Anolis sagrei: one gene and its partners. The protein of the gene in region 1 interacts with the protein of each later gene in a biochemical or structural test. Links are inferred from orthologs where the notes say so. Each region holds a gene or a part of one and is shown on either strand. Other genes may lie near its edges.

Region 1 (8,348 bases):
TTTGACTGGGAATCTTTATTATAATCACTTTCCGCCTTTCTTTTTAATCTGACGTTTGCAGTGGTTTTATGCATTTCTTTTAAATCTGATGTTTACATAAGTTTTATGGTTGGTTTTCTCCTTATTAAGCTGTTGCTATCATCTGCCTTAAAATGTTGATGAAGAGATTGCAGGATACAACTAATTTCTGTTGGAAACAAACAAGCCAACATTGGATTTGTCTCCTGGAAAGAAATGGGCTTTGTTACTCAAAGCAGAAATCTTTTTTCTTTCAATGTTTCACAGATGAACACCAGGATAGATATGATCAAGCAACATTAGACTGTGGTCAAGATAAGAATTGATAAGAGAAGCTGCAGCGGGTTACTTTTGCTTGAACATACTGGGAAGTCCAGGATCTGTGGCGCTTAGAGCAGTGTTTCTCAACCTACCTAATGCCGGAACCCCTTGATATAGTTCTTCATGTTGCAGTGACTGCCAACCATAAAATTATTTTAGTTGCTACTTCATAACTGTAATTTTGCTAGTGTTATTTATTTATTTAATTTGTTTACCGTATTTATATTCCGCCCTTCTCACCCCGCAGGGGACTCAGGGTGGATTACAATGTACACATATATGGCAAACATTCAATGCCAAAGACACACAACAGATATAGACAAACAGACAGAGGCTTTAACTTTTTCTGGCTGCCAGGGGAGCTGTTGCTTTCATCGTCCATCTGCGACACTGATGAAGTACTTCCGCATTCCCCGCATGCTTTTGCTGGAGTGCTTTGCTGGAGTCTTTTTTATAGCCTCGTAAATTTTGTTAAATTAGCCTCCTCACACATAGGTGGTACCTAATTTTCCTACTTGACAGATGCAACTGTCTTTCGGGTTGCAAAGGTTGACAACAAGCTACACAATTGGTCGGAAGCTCACTCCGACCCGGGCTGGCTTCGAACTCATGACCTTGTGGTCAGAAGTGATCTTAATGCAGCTGACACTCGGACAGCTGCGCCACAGACCCGGTTATGAATCACAATGTAAGTATCTGATATGCAGGATGTATTTTCATCCACTGGACCAAATTTGGCACAAATACCCGATACTAGGATTTACAATTCACCAACAATCAAAGAGCATTCTGAACTCCACCAATAATAGAATTGGGCCAAACTTCACACACAAAACTCCCATGTCTTGAAGGGACTCGCTAGTGCGAACCTCCCTGTAACCTCACACGCTCTCCCTCGCCCACACATGCGCACCAAACTGCCATGTGTCAAGCACACCTACTCTCGCCTCTCCATTTGGAGTCTCAGGATTAGCCCTCACATGCTTTCCCTCATCCACATATGCGCACCATGTGCCGAGCACACCTGCTATTCGCAGAGCACACCTTCTCTCCCCTCCCACTTGGAGTCTCAGAAACAACCCTCCCCTTGATTGAGAGGTCGGCTGAGAGGCTGGCAGAGGAGGGCTTTTGGTGGGATGATTCCATGTCTTTTTCCAAAAAGGAAGAGAAGGACAGGCAGAGAGATCTTCAGCCTTTTCTACAAAGAGGTTCCTAAGACCATCAGAAATATATGTTTTCTGATGGTCGTTGGCGACCCCTCTGAAACCCCCTTGCAACCCTTCAAGGGGCCCTGACCCCCAGGTTGGGAAACACTGCCTTAGAGGAAAGGAGGACAATTTGTCAAATGATGGCATTCCCCACATTAGAATTCTTCCCCTCAAATTTTCCTCCAGTCCCCAAATTTCTAGCCTTGCAGTAACATAAAACCACAGTTGATCATTTAGAAATACAGTTTAGATATCAAAAGGAAAAGGCAGGCAAAATTACTAAGAGAATGGCAGTACACAAACATAGAGTTCTAGGTAAGTATTATTTTCAGTGTCACATTCTTGCAATACTAGGAATATAGGGATTGAAGAAATATTTCTGGGGGTGGGCAGAATATTTATGGGAACAGTCTTCATTTTGTCCCCACTGCAGCTGTACTCCTACTGCATGTGTGCATGCATGTGCACAATGAGTATTGCATTTATTGGTCAGCATTTTTCTTTCCCTGTTATAAGGCTTTGCTAAACCCAGTACATAAAATTCAGGATTCCTCTGTTTAAAATAAGAGGTGTACATGTTCTTTCTCATTAATAATTCTTGCCTTCGCTTTGCTTGGTCACACTTTTTTGGTCACACTCAGATGTTCAGTCACACACATCCCAGTTTATATCTGTGAAATAGGGATGGTAGACTCTCAAATCCACTTCCTTTTCAAACAAGACAAGACAGTACAGACAATAGAATAGAATCCTGATTGGCGAAAGAAAAAAAATCAAAATAGACTCATCATGGGAACCATTCCCAATTTTCAACTGAGGTTATTATTTGCATACCATTTCAGATTGGAAGGAGGTGAAGAAGAATAGCCAGCAATGGGAAACATTTGAAACTTGAAAACTGGGGGTGGAGTTCCTCTCTTCACATTCCACATTTGAAATAAAACAATGTTGTTAACGGCATTGTTTTCCCCAGGTGTGCAATCAATCAATCTCTCTCTCTCCCTTTTCACCAAGTGCTGGGTGAAATGCTTGCCTTTGCAGCTCCTGCCATTTTACTCTCTTCATACCCTTTCTACAGCTTTGTGCTAATTTGACACCAGACATTAAGAACTCAGCTGTTGGCTCATGCCTCTGTTCATTTTGTTTTGCAGGATTTTAATTTTGGAAGTCAGCTCCTCCTGATGTTCACATTGTTCACTCTCTTGTATGAAAGACTTGAAAGCTCAGAGGTCTTGGGAACATTTTGGAAGAATGGACAAAGGTTTAAGATGTCTGTGGTTGGTTTAAACTGTTTTACTGTATTTTAGCAGATATCCATTGACCCATAGAACCCAGTTTAGAAGAGCCGATGCAAGGCAGCACAAGCCAGGCTTCAAAGCAGCAATACCATTAAATGCTAATCAAGGTGGCGATTTGCAACATTCACACTTGCCTCAAGCAGACAAGGGTTGTTTCTCCCACCCTGGACATTCCACAGATATATAAACGTCACTTGTCTTGTTTCCAACAGACCTCGAAACCTCTGAGGATGCCTGCCATAGATGTGGGTGAAACATCAGGAAAGAATGTTTCTGGAACTTGGCCATACAGCCCAGAAAACTCAAAAACTCCCTTTGGGGAGATGGTGGCGGGGTATAAATAAAGCTTATTTATTTATTTATTTACGGCATTTATATGCCGCCCTTCTCACCCCGAAGGGGACTCAGAGCGGCTTACAATATATATTTTCATACAATATATTATATTATTAGCATAGTACAATATCAGTATATATTACTACATTGCACTATACCATTATATTGTAATATTATTAGTAATATTACATGTAATGTAAATATATTATAATTATAATATTGAATTATTATTACTAGTGTTATATTGTATTACATTATAATATTATAAATATTATATGTATATATACTATACTATATTATATTATTAGTAAAGACAAGATGGAAGTGTCTTCTGCTCCCTTCTGTCTTTGCTCTGGCCAGACTTGGTGCCAGCTTATTGTTGTTATTATTAATTATGCGGAGCCCCCGGTGGCGCAGTGGGTTAAACCCCTGTGCTGGCAGGACTGAAGACCAACAGGTCGCAGGTTCGAATCCGGGGAGAGGCGGATGAGCTCCCTCTATCAGCTCCAGCTCCTCATGTGGGGACATGAGGTCTAACCGCTTTGGTTAGACCACACCTGGAATATTGTGTCCAATTCTGGGCACCACAATTCAAGAGAGATATTGACAAGCTGGAATGTGTCCAGAGGAGGGCGACTAAAATGATCAAAGGTCTGGAGAACAAGCCCTACGAGGAGCGGCTTAGGGAACTGGGCATGTTTAGCCTGAAGAAGAGAAGGCTGAGAGGAGATATGATAGCCATGTATAAATATGTGAGAGGAAGCCACAGAGAGGAGGGAGCAAGCTTGTTTTCTGCTTCCTTGCAGACTAGGACGCGGAACAATGGCTTCAAACTACAAGAGAGGAGATTCCATCTGAACATGAGGAAGAACTTCCTGACTGTGAGAGCTGTTCAGCAGTGGAACTCTCTGCCCCGGAGTGTGGTGGAGGCTCCTTCTTTGGAAGCTTTTAAGCAGAGGCTGGATGGCCATCTGTCAGGGGTGATTTGAATGCAATATTCCTGCTTCTTGGCAGGGGGTTGGACTGGATGGCCCATGAGGTCTCTTCCAACTCTTTGATTCTATGATTCTATGACATGAGAGAAGCCTCTCACAAGGATGATAAAAACATCAAATCATCCAGGCGTCCCCTGGGCAACGTCCTTGCAGACGGCCAATTCTCTCACACCAGAAGCGACTTGCTCCTGACACGACAAAAATAATAATAATAATATTGTATTTACATATTACTTGTAAGCCGTTCTGAGCCCCCTTCGGGGTGAGAAGGGCGGCATATAAATCTCGTAAATAAATAAATAATACTGCCATATAATCCAGATTATCAAATCAAATAATCTGCTTTGAACTGGATTACCTGAGTCTACACAGCCATATAATCCACTTCAAAGCAGACCATGCGGATTTTATATAGCAGTGAGCAGATCCAGCCTATGCACCGGCCATTTAATAATGCTTGGAGGAAAGCTCCTCTGATCTTCCAACATGGAGGATACAACAAAAGAGAGGAATTGGTCCATCTCATCCAGGGACACCTTTACTTTGCTTTATCCATGGCCTTTGCTGTCTCCTTTTGGCCCAACTCCTCCACAGACTGGTTGCTATGGTTACAATCTCTTAACCCCCCCCCCCCCCCTTTTTTTTCCTCCTTACATCCTGCCTTCAAAGAGCGGCTTGACATTTTTTTTCCCCTAGTCCCGCTTTGTTCCAATTGGACCCGTGCCGGAGCGAAGAGGGATTTGATTGGACCATTTATCTCATTTCCCGACGGCCAATGGATGCCAAACCCATCCTTCATTGTTTTGAGAGACACTGATTGGTTAAGGGAAGGAAAGTCCCGCCTTTAGAACGACCGAACGTTGCCTGGGCTCGATGTACCCGCCATTCATTGCGGCGAGTGGGCGGGGCTGCAGGAGAGCGAGAGAAAGAGAGGAGGCGGCGGCGGTGGTGGTGGAGAAACGAGGCCTAGAGTAGCGGGCCGACCTTCCATTCCAATCCCATTCCTAGAGAAGACAGGCCGCCCGGAAGGCCCTTATCACCCTCCGCCTTTCCTTTCGCAGCAGCCGCAGCCACCCCTTGATCATGTCGGCCTCTGCCACGGCCCCTGCTCCGGCGGAGACTGGAGGCGGTGGCGGAGGAGGACCCGCCACTGGGGAGAAGCAGCCGCGCTCCTCCGCCGCCTCTTCCTCCGCCGCCTCGGCCTCTGCCTCCTCCTCCGCCGCCGCGGGCGCCCCGCTCAACGTGGAAGGCCTCGACCTACTGGAGAAGTGCGCCGTCTGCAGGGAGAAACTCCGCTCCGAGCGGGACCCAAGGCTCCTGCCCTGCCTCCACAGCGTCTGCAAGGAGTGCGTCAAAGTCGAGCCCGCCGGCGGAGGAAACAACAAGGAAGGGCAAGGTGAGCTGCAGGTGTCCTCCTAGTCACCGCCCTCTTTCTTATCTATGGGCCAATTTGGGCCTTGCAGGTGCTTTGGACTTCAACTCCCACCATTCCTCACAGCCTCAGGCCGCTTCTTTTTCCCCCTCAGGCTGAGGGGGAAAAAGAAGCGGCCTGAGGCTGTGAGGAATGGTGGGAGTTGAAGTCCAAAGCACCTGCAAGGCCCAAGTTGCCCCCAGGCCCTTCCACACAGCCATATAACCATATATCAAACCATTATCCCCTCCTTCCACAATATCTGCTTTGAGCTAAGTTATCTTGAGTCCACACTGCCACATAATCCAGCTCAAATGTGGATTTTATACAGCCCTGTGGAAGGAGGGGCCTAAGATACTCAAGGAGGGAAAGCCCCTCCATTAGTGAGGGAATTAGGCCTAAGGAGAGAATTATTCTATCATCTTGGCGAGAGAAATAAACAGAGGAATTACTATAATTATATTTATACCTTGCTTTCTTGAAAGAGAAAGACAAGCCTTAATATTATTCTATCTTATTGGTGATGGGAATAAACCCAAGGATTTACTATTGCTGATTATATTTATACCTTGCTTTCTTGAAAGAGAAAGGCACCCTTCTCGTTTTGTAAAAGAAATAAACCCAAGGAATTACTATTGCTAATTATATTTATACCTTGCTTTCTTGAAAGAGAAAGACACCCTTTATATTATTCTATCTTCTTGGTGAGAGGAATAAACCCAAGGAATTACTATTGCTAATTATATTTATACCTTGCTTTCTTGAAAGAGAAAGGCACCCTTCTCGCTTCGTAAAAGAAATCTGAGAAATAATTGTATTATTATAGTTCTACCTCTTGGAAGAGAAGAAAAGCCTTCTCGTTTTATGAAAGAGGCGGATATAAATATAATTATTATATCTTCTCTTGAAAGAGAAGGAAATTCTTGTTTTGTGGAATAAACCTTAGAGAATTATATTATTATCTATTTATACCTCATATTTCTTGAAAGGAAACACTCCTCACTTTGAAAGAAACCTATGAGAATGTTGTTATTATTCCACGTTTTCTTTTGATAGAGAAGCCTCGTTTTGTGAAAGAAGCCTCTATTATTATTATGATTATTATTATTTAGCAAATAATTTTTATTAAATTATTTTTATTATGATTATTATGATTATTATTATTATATCTCACTTTTGTCTCTTGAAAGAGAAGGGAAACCCTTCTCGTTTTGGGGAATAAACCTTAGAGAATTATATTATTATATATTTATACCTCATTTTCTTTTCTTGAAAGAGAAGGAAATCCTCCTCACTTTGAAAGAAACCTAAGAGAATGTTGTTGTTGTTGTTATATTATTATTATACCACGTTTTCTTCTCTTGAAAAAGAGAAGCCTCATTTTTTGAAAGAAGCCATTATTATTATTATTATTATTATTCCTCACTTTCATCTCTTGAAAGAGAAGGAAACCCTTCTCGTTTTGGGGAATAAACCTTAGAGAATTATTATTATTATTATTATATATTTATACCTCATTTTCTTTTCTTGAAAGAGAAGGAAACCCTCCTCACTTTGAAAGAAACTTAAGATAATGTTGTAATATCATTCCACATTTTCGTTTTGTGAAAGAAGCATATTATTATTATTATACCTCGTTTTCGTCCCTTGAAAGAGAAGGAAACCCTTCTCGCTTTATGAAATTAACCTAAGAGAATTATATTGCTATTGTTTTTATATATTTCTCAGGTTTCTTTCACAAAAAATGAAGGGTTTCCTCAAGCGAAGCCAGCGAAGTATAAATATATAATTAATAATACCACTAATATAATTTTCTCAAGTTTCTTTCACAAAACTATGAGTTTCCTTCTCTTTCAAAAGAATAAATCAAGGTATAAATGTATAATAATATAATTCTCCAGTTTCTTTCACAAAATGAGAAGATTCCTTTTCTTTCAAGAGAAGAAAGAGAGTTATAAATATAATACAATTATTCTCAGGTTTCTTTCACAAAACAAGAAGAGTATCCTTCTCTTTCAAGAGAAGCAATTTAGGCATATATAGTAATAATGGTAATAATATAATCTCGAGTTTCCTTCTCTTTCAAGAGAAGAAAGCGGGGCATAATAATAATAATAATAATAATAATATTCTCAAGTTCCCTTGACAAAGAGAGAAGGCTTTCCTTCTCTTTCAAGAGAAGCAAGTGAGGAATAGTACTAGTAGTACAGGCTTCTTTCACAAAATGGGAAGGCTTTCCTTCTCTTTCAAGAGAAGAAAATGAGGTATAAATATAATCATCATCATTTTCTCAGGTTTTCTTTCACAAAATGAGAAGTTTCCTTTTCTTTCATGAAAACGAGGGATAATTATATTTATACATCGCTTTCTTGAAAGAGAACACTTCTTGTTTTGTGAAAGAAACTTGAGATTACTATTACTATTATTATTATTATATCTTGTCTTGAAAGAGGACACCCTTCCTGTTTTGTGAAAGAGAATTATTTTTTGGATTTATACCTCGCTTTCTTGAAAGAGAACTCTTTTCGTTTTGTGAAAGAAACTTGAGAATATTACTACTATTATATCTTTCTTGTCTTGAAAGAGAAAGAACCCCTTGCTGTTTTGTGAAAGAGAATTATTTTTTGTATTTATACCTCGCTTTCCTCCCTTAAAGGAGAGGAGAAGCAGGAAAAGGGAGGGAGATATTTTGTGGGGGGGGGGGGGGGTGGAAGCAGGCTTTGTATTGGGGAGAAAAAGATATCCGGCCTCGTGTGGAAGG
Region 2 (7,813 bases), on another chromosome or scaffold:
CTGTGGGTCCCCAGGTGTTTTGGCCTACAACTCCTAAAAATCCCAGCCAGTTTATCAGCTGTTAGGTTTTCTGAGAGTTGAAGGTCAAAATATCTGGGGACCCACAGGTTGAGAATCACTGATCTACACTGACCGTACAATGCACTTCTAAACTGCATTATATGGCAGTGTAGTTCCCATCCCAGTTCCCAAAATACCATGTTCCTATCAACGCTATGGGTTCAAAGTGATTTCTTCTTCAGTCCCTTTCATCTCGGAGTACCATGATACCTTTCAAGTATCTCAACAAACTGCACAATTCCTTTGAAGACAGCCATGACAATTAATATGGTATCACACTGATGTAAGTGTGCAGTGCAAACACCCTTTAATATTGTCTTTTCTGAGTGAGAGCAGTCTTCTGAGGAATGAGACAGGAAGCTTTACCAGACCAACTTGGAGATTCCTGGAAATGCACTGCCATCTTTGCAAGGGAAAGCACATGGTCTCCTACTCAGAGCAGGTGCAGAGTGGCTGAGGCAGTGGTGACTTAACCTTGACTTGTGATGAGATTGTAACCAAGGACTTCCTGTCTCTGAGATAATAGTCACACCCAGCTCTGAAGTCCCGCAGACACAAAAGAAGCAGAATTGCATGCCTTTAAAGGAACCTGCATGTTCATTTGCTGCGTGGCCCACAGCTCTGCACTTTCCTCCTCAACATGTGAGGGAGATGCCTTGAGGAATGGTGCACACAAAGGATTTGCAGCAAGGGAATTGGGGGGCAACTTGTGTGCCACAGTCCTCCTTTCTGCACCTCCACTGTCATATTTGAGGTCCACCACCACATGGACAGAGCCAAAGCACACGGCTCCTTGTCATTACCCAGTCATGATATCAAGCTGCTATCATAGTGTTAAGGTTCACACGATTAACTGTTACAGCCTTGCCATGTGGCAAATATCTAGAAGAGCATCCCCTGTGCTGCTTCTGCTGTTTGCTGTTGTCACCAAAGCAGGACTGGTCAAAGTGGTGGTCTATGGACCAGTGCCAGTCTGCAAACCATCGGCCATGGAGAGTTTCCAGGAAAGCAAGAAGCAGTTGAAGCTAATGGGCACAATTACGGTGCCAGTCCCTGGCACTTAAGAAGGGGGAAATCCCTATTTTTCCCCCACTTCAGATACCATGAGAAGCACTGTCCCAAATGTGTTGGTGTTATTAGGCTGGGCTTTAGCACAGCAGCTTAAACCACCAGCTGCAAGAAAATCTTGCTGATCAAAAGATCAACAGTTCAAGCCCAGGTTGGGGTGAGCTACCAACTGTCAGCCCAGCTTCTGTTCACCTAGCAGTTTGAAAACAGTAATGTGAGTAGATAAACAGGTACCACTTTGGTGGGGAGGTAATAAAAGGCACCCATGTAGACATGCCGACAATTCAATTGGGAGAGTGTGTAAAGGCAACAAAGCTCCTCAGCATGGAAGATGGACTGACAGCATATTGCCCCACCCCCATAGCCAGAGTTGAGCACAGCCTCCAAGTGCCAGAGATCAAAAATGATGGGAAGCTTTCACCTCTGTTTGTGTACTGTCTGTCTTTGTTAACTGTATAATGCCATTGAATGTTTGCCATATATGTGTACTGTAATCCACCCTGAGTTCTCTAGGGGAGATAGGGTAGAATATAAATAAATTATTATTATTATTATTATTATTATTATTATTAATTATTAGAAACACAACAAGATTAGTACACAGCAAACAAGGTCACTATGCTGGCTGTTGGATTGGATCACTCGTCGGACACTTCCCAAGTGTCTAGTACTATGTGATGTATCAGCAAATAATGCGTGCAGATCTGAGTAGGGTGGCCTTTTGCAGATGATAAATGCTAATTTTTGTCAGTGCCGATTGTGTTTAAGTGCAGGCCAATGTCTTTAGGTACTGCACCCAGTGCGCCAATCACCACTGGGACCACCTTTACTGGCTTGTGCCAAAGTCTTTGCAGTTTGATAAAATTTCTGCCAGTTCTGTAGTTGTTTTGCTTCCAGTTTCTCTACAAGCCCATGCCCAGGTTGCTTAGCAGTGGGTCCTGGTTCCTGTAGTCCACTTGTCAACAGGTGCCCAGGAGAAGCACTCATCGCAGTCCTTATTATCCTGGACGATGACTGAGCCAGTATAGATTTCTTTAGAGTTTGTTTCACCATATTTAAATGAGTTGGGTGCACTTAGTTCATTTAAGACCACATTGGCTTGGTTGAACCTGGTAGTTTACACTACCACCAGCACAGCTCTCAGCATCATAGATGCAGTTAAGCCCCCTGCCAACGACAAGGTGGCACCCAATGGGGGGTTGTTGTTGTTGTTGTTATTAGCTGTCTAGTTAACTTGGACTAACAGAGACCCTATGAAGAGAGAGAGTTCCAAATCTGTCATCAACAATTCTTTACTCAGGTTAATGTCTTCCTTGACTAAATTGATCTACTTGTGCTGCAGTTTCTCTCTTTTCCTACTGTTTTTGACTTTATCAAAGATTATTGCCTTTTCTATGAGTCATATTGTCTCATGGCCAAAGTATAGCAGCCTTGATTTAGTAATTTTCACTTCTTGTTCAGGCATGATTTGCTCCAAGACCCCTTCACTTGTCCTTTGAGTAGTCATGGTATCCATACAGCTCTTCCCCAGCACCACATTTCAAATAAGTCAATTCCCCCCCCCCCCCCCCCGCGTTAACTTTCTCAACTTTCTTGCATATGCATAGTAATTGGGTTTGTGGCCTGGATGATCCTGACCTTTGGGATTTACTGATACGCATATCTTTACACTTAAGGACCTCCTTGAGTTCCTTCATGATTGCCTGTCAAGGTCCCAGGGCCCTTCCAGGCAGGCCCTATATCCCAGGATCTGATCCCACGTTTTCTGTTTATCCCAGATTATTTGGCAGTGGAGACTCATATAATTCAGTTTAAAGCAGAAAACCTGGGATCAGATCCTGGGATACAGGGCCTGCCTGGAAGGGCCCTCAGTCTTCTTCTGATTCTGTTTTGGTTCACATCTGAACTAAGGTATGGGAAATAATGTTTCAATGTCTGTGATGCATACAGGAAGTTTGTACAAAGCTATCCTCAGGAGCTGCCAAAAGACATCTCTGCTGAGATCTGATTTCTTTTTCCTGTGCATGGTGGACTGACATGAGCAGATTCCAAGGGCTATTTCAGAGCTGGAAGAACTGACAGTGTGCTCCCAGAAACATTTGTCCTAATGCTTGTGTGTGCGTGTACAGTGGGCCCTTCCTATGTTCTGGGATTTGGTTCCAGGACCTCCATGGATTGCAAAATCTCTGGATGCGTAAGTCCTATTACCAACGATGGCATAGAAAATTGCCATGGCTGTGGAATAATATCTGTAGTTTGGTTTTTTTTGGGTGTGATGAGCAACTTGAGAAACTGCAAGTCGCTTCTGGTGTAAGAGAATTGGCCATCTGCAAGGATGTTGCCCAGGGGACGCCCAGATGTTTTACCTTCCTTGTGGAAGGCTTCTCTCTTGTCCCTGCATGGGAAGCTGGAGCTGGCAGATAGGAGCTCACCCTGCTCCCTGGATTTGAACCGCCTTTCGGTCAAGCAGTCTTGCTGGCGCAAGGGTTTTGCGCCACCGGATTCTCCTTGTAGTTTTTTTGATAGGACACCAGCACTCTTTGGAAGAGAGGGCTCAAAACTTTGCAAAACGACACCTCCTAGAATTTCATAGCATTGAGCCATGGTAGTTAAAGTGGTGTCTAACTGCATTCATTCTGCAGCGTAGATGCTGCCTAGAAGACAGGCGCCCAAAGTGAGGCTGTTAAAGGCTCCTCCCTAAACTACAAACCCCAAAATTCTGCAGGAGGCAGCAACCAGATTTAAAGTGGGTTCATTCTCTAGTGCGATGAAGTAGTAAGTATGGGTTAGAACTGGATGTCCCAAGTCCCAGCCCATCTGCACTGTAGAATGAATGCAGTTTAGCGCCCTTTTCATTGCTATGGAGTAATGGGGGACTTGAACCCCATCTGCCAAGAAGTACTGCTGCCTCCCCAAAACTGCAACTCCCACGACTGTAAAGTACTGAGCCATGGCAGTGCAAGCGGTGTCCAACTGGATTCATTCTGCAGTGTAGATGCGCCCTCCCTGGCTCTCCCTCCCAGCCGGGAGTAGCCAGCCAACGAGGCTCCAGGGCCGCGGGCCGAGGGGCGGGGCCAGGGAAGCCGGACTTCCCCTTCGGTCTCTGGTGCTACAACAGGCTGATTTCCCCGAAATGATGCGGCGCTCGAAGCGGACTCCCTGCCGGGCGCTGATTGGCGCAGCCCTTCCCCTCGGCGGCGCTGATTGGACGCCACGCACGGCTCCCTCGGCTGGGGATTCCCAGGGACCTGCGGGAGATATACCACACCGCCCTGGGTCCAGCGCGGGCAGAAGGTGCCAGACCCGGACGGAGAAAGAAAGAAAGAGGAGCCTAGAGATCAGGTGCAGCCACAGGCATCGCTCCGGTTCTGTTCTGCAGCGAGGAGGAAAGCAAGCCAGTGCAGCCCATCCGCGACAGAAGCGAAGAAGGTGGGTCCGAGGAACTCCTTTGCACTCTGATTTGGATTTGAGTCTCCTTTCAGGGATAAAATAATAACAACAATAATAACAATGATAATTTTATTACTATTTGATATACAACAAGATTAGTACGCAGCAAACAAGATAACTATGATAGTTGTTGTGTTGGATCACACTTTTATTATTTATGATGATGATTATATTAAGGTTTTCGCCTGGCATTAAGTCCAGGCGTGTCCGACTCTGTGGGTTGGTGCTCATCTCCATTTCTAAGCCGAAGAGCCGGCGTTGTCCATAGACACCTCCAAGGTCATGTGGCCGGCATGATTGCACGGAGCGCCGTTACCTTCCCGCCGGAGCGGTGCTTATTGATCTGCTCACATTGGCATGTTTTCGAACTGCTAGGTTGGCAGAAGCTGGGGCTAACAGCGGGACCTCACCCCACTCCCCGGATTCGAACCTATATATATGATGTATATTATATTATATTATATTATATTGTATTATATATATTATATATTCTATTCTATTCTGTGTTATATTATATATTATATAATATATAATATAAAATATATACTTTATTATATATTATACATAATATAATATATAATATATATACATTATTATTATTTATTTATTTATTTATTTATTTCCTTGTGGCATTTGGCTTCACTTCGGTGCAAGTTTCTCCTCTGCACGGGTAACAAACAAGAGTTCCCTTCGAGCTCTGCAAGGATTTCTTTAGCATGCATGCATCTACACGGTGGAATGAATGCGGCTTGATCCCATGGCTCCATGCTATGCAATCAGGAGGAGGGTTGTGTGCCAAGGAGGGCTGGCGCCTCATCCAACGACAGCTCGCAGGATTCCATAGCATTGAGCCACGGGCGGGTAAAGTGGTGCCAAACCGTATTCATCCTGCAGTGTAGATGCACCCGAAGGGGAAGGCGCTGCAACGGAGTGAACTGGGCACCTATTTCTTCCAACAAGTCCGTTGGAAGTCACTTTAAAGCAATCTTTTTTTCTGTGTCAGGAGCGACTTGAGAAACTGCAAGTCGCTTCTGGTGTGAGAGAATTGTCGTTGCCCAGGGGGCGCCCGGATGTCTCCCCATCCTTGTGGGAGGCTTCTCTCTTCAGGTCCCCGGTGCGCGCGGCAAAAGCCCGGCAATAGAAAAAAGTCGCGCCCGTTTCCGGCAGAAGGGGAGCGGAGGCCAAGCTCTTGAGGCGGAGGTCCATAGTTGCTCAGGCTCAGATGCTGACCGAGAAGTTACTCCAGCGTGAGCAAACCGGATGCTGGGACACTTGGAAACGGGGGGAGATCAAAAGTTCACGCCTCGAGCCAGGAGCCCCCCATGGAAAAGAGAGGCCTCGCTTGTGATGGATCCTCTCTGGGTTGCTTCCAAGGTGGGAGAGGATGGTGGGAGCGGGCAGCAAGTCTCCTGAATTCAGTTCATTTGAACTCACTTCAGCTGTCCTGGCTCAATGCTATGGAATCGTGGGAGTTATAGTTTGGCGAGGCAACAGCACTTTTGGGCAGAGAAGGCACAAGACCAGGCAGGGGCCAACTTGGGCCTTCTGTCCAGGTGTTTTGGACTTCACCTCCCACCATTCCTAACAGCCTCGGGCCCTTTCCTTTTCCCCCTCAGCCGCTTAAGCTCGAGGGGGCCCGAGGCTGTTAAGAATGGTGGGAGGTGAAGTCCAAAACATCTGGACAGAAGGCCCAAGTTGGCCCCTGCTTGTTGTAATAACTGCACCAATTATTCCATTTGTTAAACACGCAAAGAGTGATAATCTCTACTCCTTCCAGAGCTGCCAAAAGGAACTAACTGCCCAGAAGTGCGAAAGTATTTTTTGTGTTGTTGGGACCAGGAAGTAATACCTGTAAAAATGAGGCAAAGTGTTCAGGGAAACGAACCTAGCTTTGCCCCCTTGATCCTCGGTGTCAACAACAACAATAATAATATAATAAACTTTATTTGGGTGGTTGTGAGTTTTCCGGGCTGTATGGTCATGTTCCAGAAGCATTCTCTCCTGATGTTTCGCCTGCATCTATGGCAGGACATGCACGGGAAACCAACCTAGCTTTGCCCCCTTGATACACAGTGTCAACAATAATAACAAAAGTAACCAAAACTAAAATACTCTCCATCTTAAAGTCAGACCATGCTCCCATAGAAATAGTAATAGAAAATATAGAAGAAAAAGACAGAGTAAGAAAATGTAGGTTAAACGACCATTTAATCCAGGGCGGATTATTAATGGAATACTTTAAATTAAATACAGAAAAAGATACACCAATAGAAATAATATGAGATGCCAGTAAGGCCTACATGAGAGGGCAACTCATAGAGCAAGGTATAAGAGAAAACAGGAAAAGAAAACAATACTACAAAACAGAAGAAGAAATTATAAAAAATGTTAACACAGGCTAAAATAAATCCTCAGGACAAAAAGATCCAATACCAATTGGACCTACTAAGGAAACAAATGAATACACTAAACTTAGTTGAGATGGAAAAACAACAACAATATAATAAAACTTTATTTGGGTTGTTGTGAGGTCTCACAACTCTGAGGATGCCTTCCATAGATGTAGATGAAATGTCAGGAGATAATGCTTCTGGAACATGGCCATACAGCCCAGAAAACTCACCACAACCTAGTGATTCCAGCCATGAAAGTTTTCAACAATACATTAAAACTTTACCTGTATTCCGCCCTCTCCCCGAGGGGACTCAGGGAGGATTCTAACAAAAGATAGCAAACATTCAATGACAAACACATTCATAAATGAAAATTCAAAACCAAATTAATTAAAGACCTCATAACCTCTGAGGATGCCTGCCATAGATGGAGGCGAAACATCAGGAGAGAATGCTTCTGGAATATGGCCATACAGCCTGGAAAACTCACAACAAACCAAACTAATGAAATATCAAAAAGAAACAACAGCTACAATAAAAATTGAACAAAAAATAAATAATAACCTAACCTATTACCTTACATTTTATATGAAAACATAATGCATAAATTATATAGACACACCCACAATCATTAAGATAGTTCTTAAAATATTAATTGGCCAATAAAGCCAGTGTGCCAACAATACCAGTGAGCCAAGACAAGTCTTTTAAGACCTGTCGGAAAAGGCTGGAAGATCATCAGGGGCATCTGCACTGTAGAATTATTGCAGTTTGATGCTACTGGAACTGCCATGCAGTAATGCTATGGGATTGTGGGAGTTGTTATTTGGTGAGGCACTTGC
Region 3 (7,743 bases), about 7.0 Mb from region 1:
AAATAGGAATGTAATACGGGCATGGCTTTTAACCCTGTATCTCCTTTTATGAACCATCACGAAGCTTAAGATCGTCAGAGGAGGCCCTGCTCTCAATCCCACCGCTCTCACAAACACGGTTTGGTGGGGATGAGGGACAGGGCCTTCTCAGCAATGCCCCCCCCCCCCCCGTCTGTGGAATTCCCTCCCTAAGCACATCAGGATGGCCACCTCCCTCCTGTCCTTTAGAAGACAATTGAAGACTTGGCTTTGGGACCAGGCGTTCGTCCAGTGGATAGCGACAATTGGAAGGAAAGTTAGGACATATGCGACTGGATTTACCCAACTTGGTCTTGGTTTTAACTGGCATCTTAGCTTTTTGTTTAATGAACTTGGTAATGTACCTGTATAACATGTTTTAATGATTTTTTACTGTTTTCATTGTAACCCTTGTTGCTTATATGTTGACAGCATCACACGATGCTTATGTGATGTGGGGGCAGTTTTAAATATATATATATTGATTTTTCCTTTTTGGTACAAAAGTCAACAGAAAAGTATATATTGGGTTGTTGTAGGTATTTTCAGGCTATATGGCCATGTTCTAGAGGCATTCTCTCCTGACGTTTTGCCTGCATCTATGGCAAGCATCCTCAGCGGTAGTGAGGTATATATTGATATATATATTGTATAAAATATATATTGATTTTTCCCTGTTTGAACTGCCTGTATATGTCAGATCTGCTGACCAGCACAAGGTCACAGGAGATATGACCCGAACACGCTGACTTTCCAGATGATTAAGATGTTTTCCTATGCATTAATAATTAATTAATGTCAACAAGTTATATAAGCAATTGTATATAAATATGTGCTCTGTTTAAATCAAGGTGTGTGGAAACCCCTTGTTTCAGCTGCGGGCTGAGGTTTCCCACCCTTTTCCATGGAAAAGTAAAAAGTTTTGAACTTGGAACTCTGCTCTAGCCTGGTGTCATTCTTCCACCCCATTTGCATCCCAACAGACAGGCTGCTGTCTGCTGCAACAATGAGGCTGCCCTGAGTCCCCCTTTGGGAGGAGAAGGGCAGGGTAGAAATGTATGTAATAATAATAATAATTTTTATCAATATTGTTTTTAATTTGTTATTATGGTTTCTCTTGTGATTTGTATTATTGTTGAATGTGCTGTATTGTCTATTAGTTTTTTTAATTTATTGTAGTATTTATTTTTATTTTACTGACATAAAAACACAGTATGTCACAGCAAACGAGATATATATGCTGGATTTCGTATCACAAAATCACAAGTCGAGCACTTCCAAAGCGTCTAGAACTGTGTGGTGTATTTTCGAATGATGCACGCAGATCCAAGTAAGGTGGCATTTTGCAGTTGATAGATCATGATTTTGTCAATGTTTATTGTTTCCAAATGCAGGCTGAGATCTTTTGGCACAGCACCCAGTGTGCCAATTACCACTGGGACCACCTGTACTGGTTTATGCCAGAGCCTTTGCAATTCGATTTTGAGATCCTGATGACAGCTGAGTTTTCTCCTGTTGTTTTTTTGTGAATTCAGGTATCACCTGGAATGGCGACATCAATAAACTTTTTTTTATTTTCCACAATCGTGATGTCTGGTGTATTGTGTTCCAGCACTTTGTCAGTCTGGATTCAAAAGTCCCATAGTATTTTTGCGTGTTCATTTTCCACTACCTTTGCAGGTTTACGATCCACCAATTCAGGCATGTAGCCCCCCCCCCCCCCCCAAATTCTCATGGTGGTTCGCGAAAAGGCCTTACTGGTGCAGTATTTAAACTGTTATGTTTATTAATATCATGATTTGATCACCATTCTCAATATATCCCATATGTATGGGGGTATTGGGGTAATGATACAAAAGGTTTGCTAGGCTAGACCCTCTTTCACTCAGACTCAGTCCCCCCCCCCCCGAAACTCAGCCCCCCCCCCCCGAAACCCCCCTGAAAAATTTTTAGCCCCCCCCCCCCCCCCCCGAAACGAAATCCTGGCTACGGGCCTGCACCAATTATTTACTGCTGGCAAGTGGTACTTGTGGCCTAAGTTCCAATGAATCATTTGGGCCACAGAGTTGTGCCTCTATTTGTAGTCTGTCTGTGCAATTTTCTTGCAGCAGCTCAGGATATGATCAATGGTTTCATCAGCTTCCGTGCACAGTCTGCATGTTGGTACATCAGCTGATTTTTCAATCCTGGTCTTAATTGCATTTGTTCTGATGGCTTGCTCCTGGGCTGCAAGAATCAGGACTTCTGTCTCCTTTTTCAGTGTTCCATTAGTGAGCTATAACCAGGTCTTCCCCGTGTGAATGTTTCCTTCAATTTTGTCAAGGAATTGCCCATGCAATACTTTGTTGTGCCGTCAGCTCTGGTTTAAGGGCAGTTTTCTTGTACTGATTATTTGTCTGCTGTGCTTTGAGAAGTACAAAGCAAGTATTATTATTATTATTATTATTATTATTATTATTTTATGGCAATGAATGTTTGCCTTTTATGCTGTGAGACGCCCTGAGTCCCAAAGGGGAGATAGAGTAGGATAGAATAAATTTTTACCTAGGTGCCTTCCACATATTATCTGCTTTGAACTCGATTATATGACACTGTGGACTCATATAACTGAGGGCTCTTCCACACAGCCATATAAATCACAATATCAAAGCAAAAAATCCCACAATATCTGCTTTGAACTGGGTTATCTGAGTCCACACTCAGATAATGTGGGATTTTCTGCCTTGATATTATGGGATATAGGGCTGCGTGGAAGGGCTCTTAGCGTACCATGGAAATTTAGCATAAATTTGACTCTCCTTAGTTCAATCAATCTCATAAATTTTTATTTGAGGGCCCTACCACACAGCTGAATAAAATCCCACATTATCTGCTTTGAAGTGGAATATATGGCAGCATGAATTCAGGGCCCTTCCACACAGCCCTATATCTCAGAATATTAAGACAGAAAATCCCACAATATCTGCTTTGAACTGGGTTCAGATAATGTGGGATTTTCTGCTTTGATATTCTGGGATATAGGGCTGTGTGGAAGGGCCCAAAGAAAATACATCTATATAAATAAAAATGTAATGTTTGTTTGTGGGATTAACAGAACTCAAAAACCACTGGGCAAATTGACACCAAATTTGGACACAAGACACCTCCCAGGCCAATGAGTGACCATCACTCATAAAAATTCTGGAAAACACAGCAGAAGGGACGTAAAAAGACAAAAAAATACATTAATAATAATAATAATAATTAGAAATCCAGCACTGAAAAGCTAGGCTACTGTTCCTGAGCTTGCGCAGAGGGTCATAGAAATATCATAATAATAACATAGAATAATATAATAATAAATATATAATATAAGTAATACAATAATAAAATAATAATAATAGAATAATAGAATCTAGAGGTCACGAAGAGTCGGAGACGACTGAACGAATGAACAACAGCAACAAATATAAATAAAGGAGCCCCTGGTGGCGCAGTGGGTTAAAGCACTGAGCTGCTGAGCTTGTTGACCGAAAGGTTGCAGGTTCGATTCCGCGGAGCGGTGTGAGCTTCCGCTGTCAGCCCTAGCTTGTGCCAACCTAGCTGTTCGAAAACATGCAAATGTGAGTAGATCAATAGGTACCGCTCCAGCGGGAAGGTAACGGCGCTCCATGCAGTCATGCCGGCCACATGACCTTGGAGGTGTCTACGGACAACGCTGGCTCTTCGGCTTAGAAATGGAGATGAGCACCACACCCCAGAGTCAGACATGACTGGACTTAATGTCAGGGGACTACCTTTACCTTTACCTATATAAATAAAAGTGTAATGTTAGTTTGTGGGATGAACACAACTCAAAAACCACTGGACGAATTGAGACCAAATTTGGACACAAAACACCTCTCAGGTTTCACCCATAAAAACACTGGAAAACACAGCAGATGAGACTTTAAAAACACACATATATACACATGTACAGAAATATACACACACCACACATATACACAGACTGGGCCACAGTAACGCCACAGCAACGCGTGGCAGGAGATGGCTAGTTTTTAATAATTGAGAAAAGGACCCAAAGAAACCCGGAAACAGACGCTCTAACTGTGGGTGGATTGTCTTTCATTAAAAATCTATGGGGCGAAGGAAAAGGGGTGGGCGATCACATCCGGTCCCAGAATGCCGCGGGCGAGTGGCGAGTGTCAGGGCGGGAGGGAGAAGAGGGAGGGGGGTGTCGGAAGTTGGCTAGCGCATGCGCCGTGCGCCTCGGCGGGTAGAGGGGTTGCAAGGACTCTTTTGTTTGGCGGAGGCGGATCGAGCGCGAACCGCCGCTCGCTCTCTTGGCCTCTCTCTTTTGCCGTCCGTTCCTGAAGTCCGAGGGGTTTCCGCTCCGCGCGCGCTCTCGGCTCGGCCTGCAGCCGCTTCGTGGTGGTGGCGGCGCCGACTGGGGTGGTCGTTTGGAAGCCGCTCGCCGCGCGCTTCCTTGGTGGGGCTTCCTCAGGTAAAGAGGCCGAGTGAGGAGAGATGGGGAGGGGGCGTCTGAGGCACCTCAGGCCTGGGCGGCCATATTGGGGGTGGGCCCAAGGGGGGAGGAAGGGGCGCGAAAACGCGGGAAGGAGAAACACTCGAGCCCCCTGCGTGGGTTCCTGAGGCAGCTTTTCTGGGGCGGGGAAAGGAGCCATATAGCGACCCTTTTCTCAGAGAGGAGACAGTAAAGAGTGGTGGGAAATATGTTCACGAAACGGATGAGAAGTATGCTGGGTTTCCAGCCCTGTGTGAACTGTTTTTGTTTGTGCTTCTTTGTATTGTGTTTGAGTGAATGTGTGATGGTGGGGAGCTCAACAATAGAAGCTGCACGGGAAAGACATCTGAGGGGAAGAAATATGCTTGCAAGTGATGCCCGTGTGAAGAGAAAGTGGCGTGTGTGTGGTTTTGTGTAGGAAAAGGCGTTTTTATCAGGCTGAATATTCCTTGCCTGAAGTGTTTGGCGTTTTGGAGTACTTGCCAAAGTCCCAAAGGAGTTTCGGTGTGTCATAACTTCTTTAACTTTTGTTGTTTTTCATTTACAATACAGTAGCATCATATATAGTAGAGCAGGCATGGGCAAACTTCGGCCCTCTTTGCCCGTGGCGAGAAAAAGCAGGTAGAAATAAACAGCAATAATAATAATAAATGCAGGCCACCCCCAAGTTACAAACAAGATATGTTCTATAAGTTTATTCTCAAGTTGAATTGTGGCAGCCATTAGGAGAAAATATAATTATAATTATAAAAATGCATTTAAGATGAACAGAAAAAAGCCTTACCTTAAATGCTGACGAGAGATTTCTACAGCAAGGGAAATTCAATAGAACAATAAAAGATCGGAGTGGCTTGTTCCATAAATAATTGGAAAAGTAAATGTTGACTTTAGATTAAACATAGCAGGCTAGAGGCCTCGTGAGTTAGGATAAATATATAAATCATTAAGAGATCAAAGAAGTTAAGTACCAATGGAACATGTCATCTGGAAATAATAAGTAGAAGTTAACAATTATATGAAGTGAGCGAATGTTTGTCATCTTGACCTTGCCAAGGGAATGACCAGGGTGGGACAAATAATTCTTGTCTGCTGGAGCTAGGTGTGAATGTTTCAACTGACCACCTTGATTAGCATTTGATGGCCTGGCAATGCCTGGGGCAATCTTTTGTTGAGAGGTAATTAGATGTCCTTGTTTGTTTCCTCTCTGTTGTGCTGTTGTAATTTTAGAGTTTTTTAATACTGGTAGCCATATTTTGTTTATTTTCATGGTTTCCTCCTTTCTGTTGAAATTATCCACATGCTTGTGGATTTCAATGGCTTCTCTGTGTAGTCTGACATGGTAGTTGTTACCCTAGCAATTCCACAGATATATCAACTCTTTTTCCTAGTTCCAACAGACCTTACTACCTCTGAGGATGCTTGCCATAGATGCAGGCAAAACGTCAGGAGAGAATGCCTCTAGAACATGGCCATATAGCCTGAAAAATCCTACAACAACCCTGTGTGGTGTTTTGCTTTCTGTGCCCTTGTTCGCCTCACTTCCTGTCTCTGGTCATTGGGTTTTGAAAAATTTGGCTTGTTGTGGATAAAAGGATTGGTGAGAAAGGTTCAGGGAAGACACCTTTCCACCATAACTCTTCCAGGAATGAATTTCCCATCATAGAGATAGATTTCTCTCACTTCCTCGTTCTTAACTAGGAGTCGTTTGTAAGTTGGATGTTTGTAATTCATGGTCTGCCTGTATAGAGGACATTACATTACACATAAAGTCTTCTCAAAAAGTTACTAAAACATCAAACACCTTTGTGATTTTTGGCCCACCTTTTACATTGAGTTGTATCTTGAAGATGGGGCCCAAATGTGCTCAGAGGCTGAAGATGATTTTATATTATTTTAAAACAAAACAAAGTTTTATTGTATTGAATCACCAGAAAGCAAAGATTTCACTATCTCAGCTAGCCATGTGGACAACTTTAGATTCTAGTGTACAGTATTTTAGAATTCCAGATAAGGGATGAACTACGTTGATATTGTTACAAGGGGGTGGATGCACATGTGTTTATGTATAGTATGTGGGCAGTTTTTAAATTTTAATGTATTCTGGAATTTAGGGGTGCTCATTAAATATAGTGGAGAATTGTTACCAGGAGGCAGGTTTACATGTAAGTCAATCTGAATAAGATTTATAGAAATTGAAGGAAAAAAGCAGAGGATATGCATTCTTTTGATGTTAAATGCAATTTTCCAAGCCCAGAGCCCAAGTGATTTACTAACATTTTGATAGTTTTGATCTTTACTCATATACAGCAATGTGCTGACACTTAAAATTCATTTTAAAATGGATTTGGTACCTTTTGGAAACAAACTCCACATATATAAAATGTAGCAAGTTTTCTTTTTCTAAATTGTATAAAATACAAAGATTATGGATTGTGTCCCCTAATACATATTTGGAGAGGGATGTTGGCAGAGTATTGCACCTAATATTTGATAGAGGACATTGTTTCGAAGTTAAGGAATGGGATGATGAACGTGCTGTAATGTTTTTAAGAGTGAGGCTACGATTATGTTTTAAAGTGTGCAATAGAGTCCCTGTGTACAATGTTTTTCTTAAGGTAGAATGAAATAAGAGCATTAGGAGAGATGAGCTTGTTGTATGGATGTTGCTCCAGTACAGAGCTAATAAAAGTGAAGTGCCATGATAGTGTGAGGTGGTTCTCCCACAGTGTATCGTGGAAGTGATGGAGAGGCATTCCTCTGCCTTCCCAGAAGATTTCCCCTTTCAAGTTGGACCAGATCTACACTGCTAAATAATGCTGTTTGAACTGCATTTTATGGTCAGCGTAGACTCATATAATACAGTTCAAGCTCAATCTCTTGGCCATTTCATATATTGAGATAGCAAAATATTTTACCAAAGGGCAAAAGTTCAAAATAGACACATGTTGCCGCACAATGATGTTTAATGTTTGAACTGATTTAGTTCAACAGTGTCATATACAGATATAAATTTTGCACGTCTCGGTAATTTGTAAAAATACTAAAATTTCTGGTGGATGGAGCTGCTTGCAGATGATCTTCCTTATCAGAACAGAGTGATGTATAGGCAAAATACATTGGGAAGCCTACATTGCGATGTATGTAGCTCAAGAAGGTATCACAGCAATGCGGGGTGGGCAACATAATTTTAGATCTCTGTAACATACTGTAGAAATGAAACC

Evidence for each region.
Region 2: the proteins of TRIM28 (region 1) and IRF1 form a complex in vitro, tested with the Homo sapiens proteins (2 studies listed by BioGRID). The link is inferred for Anolis sagrei from reciprocal best matches to the Homo sapiens genes TRIM28 and IRF1.
Region 3: the proteins of TRIM28 (region 1) and CBX1 form a complex in vitro, tested with the Homo sapiens proteins (3 studies listed by BioGRID). The link is inferred for Anolis sagrei from reciprocal best matches to the Homo sapiens genes TRIM28 and CBX1.

Annotation. Positions count from the first base shown.
Region 1 is NC_090026.1:26,897,440-26,905,787, reverse strand, and holds the start of TRIM28 (transcription intermediary factor 1-beta), read left to right. Parts: upstream 1-5,055; 5' UTR 5,056-5,259; coding exon 5,260-5,572; intron 5,573-8,348. UniProt on the Homo sapiens protein: Nuclear corepressor for KRAB domain-containing zinc finger proteins (KRAB-ZFPs).
Region 2 is NC_090022.1:94,712,870-94,720,682, reverse strand, and holds the start of IRF1 (interferon regulatory factor 1), read left to right. Parts: upstream 1-4,303; 5' UTR 4,304-4,557; intron 4,558-7,813. UniProt on the Homo sapiens protein: Transcriptional regulator which displays a remarkable functional diversity in the regulation of cellular responses.
Region 3 is NC_090026.1:33,852,039-33,859,781, forward strand, and holds the start of CBX1 (chromobox protein homolog 1), read left to right. Parts: upstream 1-4,233; 5' UTR 4,234-4,501; intron 4,502-7,743. UniProt on the Homo sapiens protein: Component of heterochromatin. Recognizes and binds histone H3 tails methylated at 'Lys-9', leading to epigenetic repression. Interaction with lamin B receptor (LBR) can contribute to the association of the heterochromatin with the inner nuclear membrane.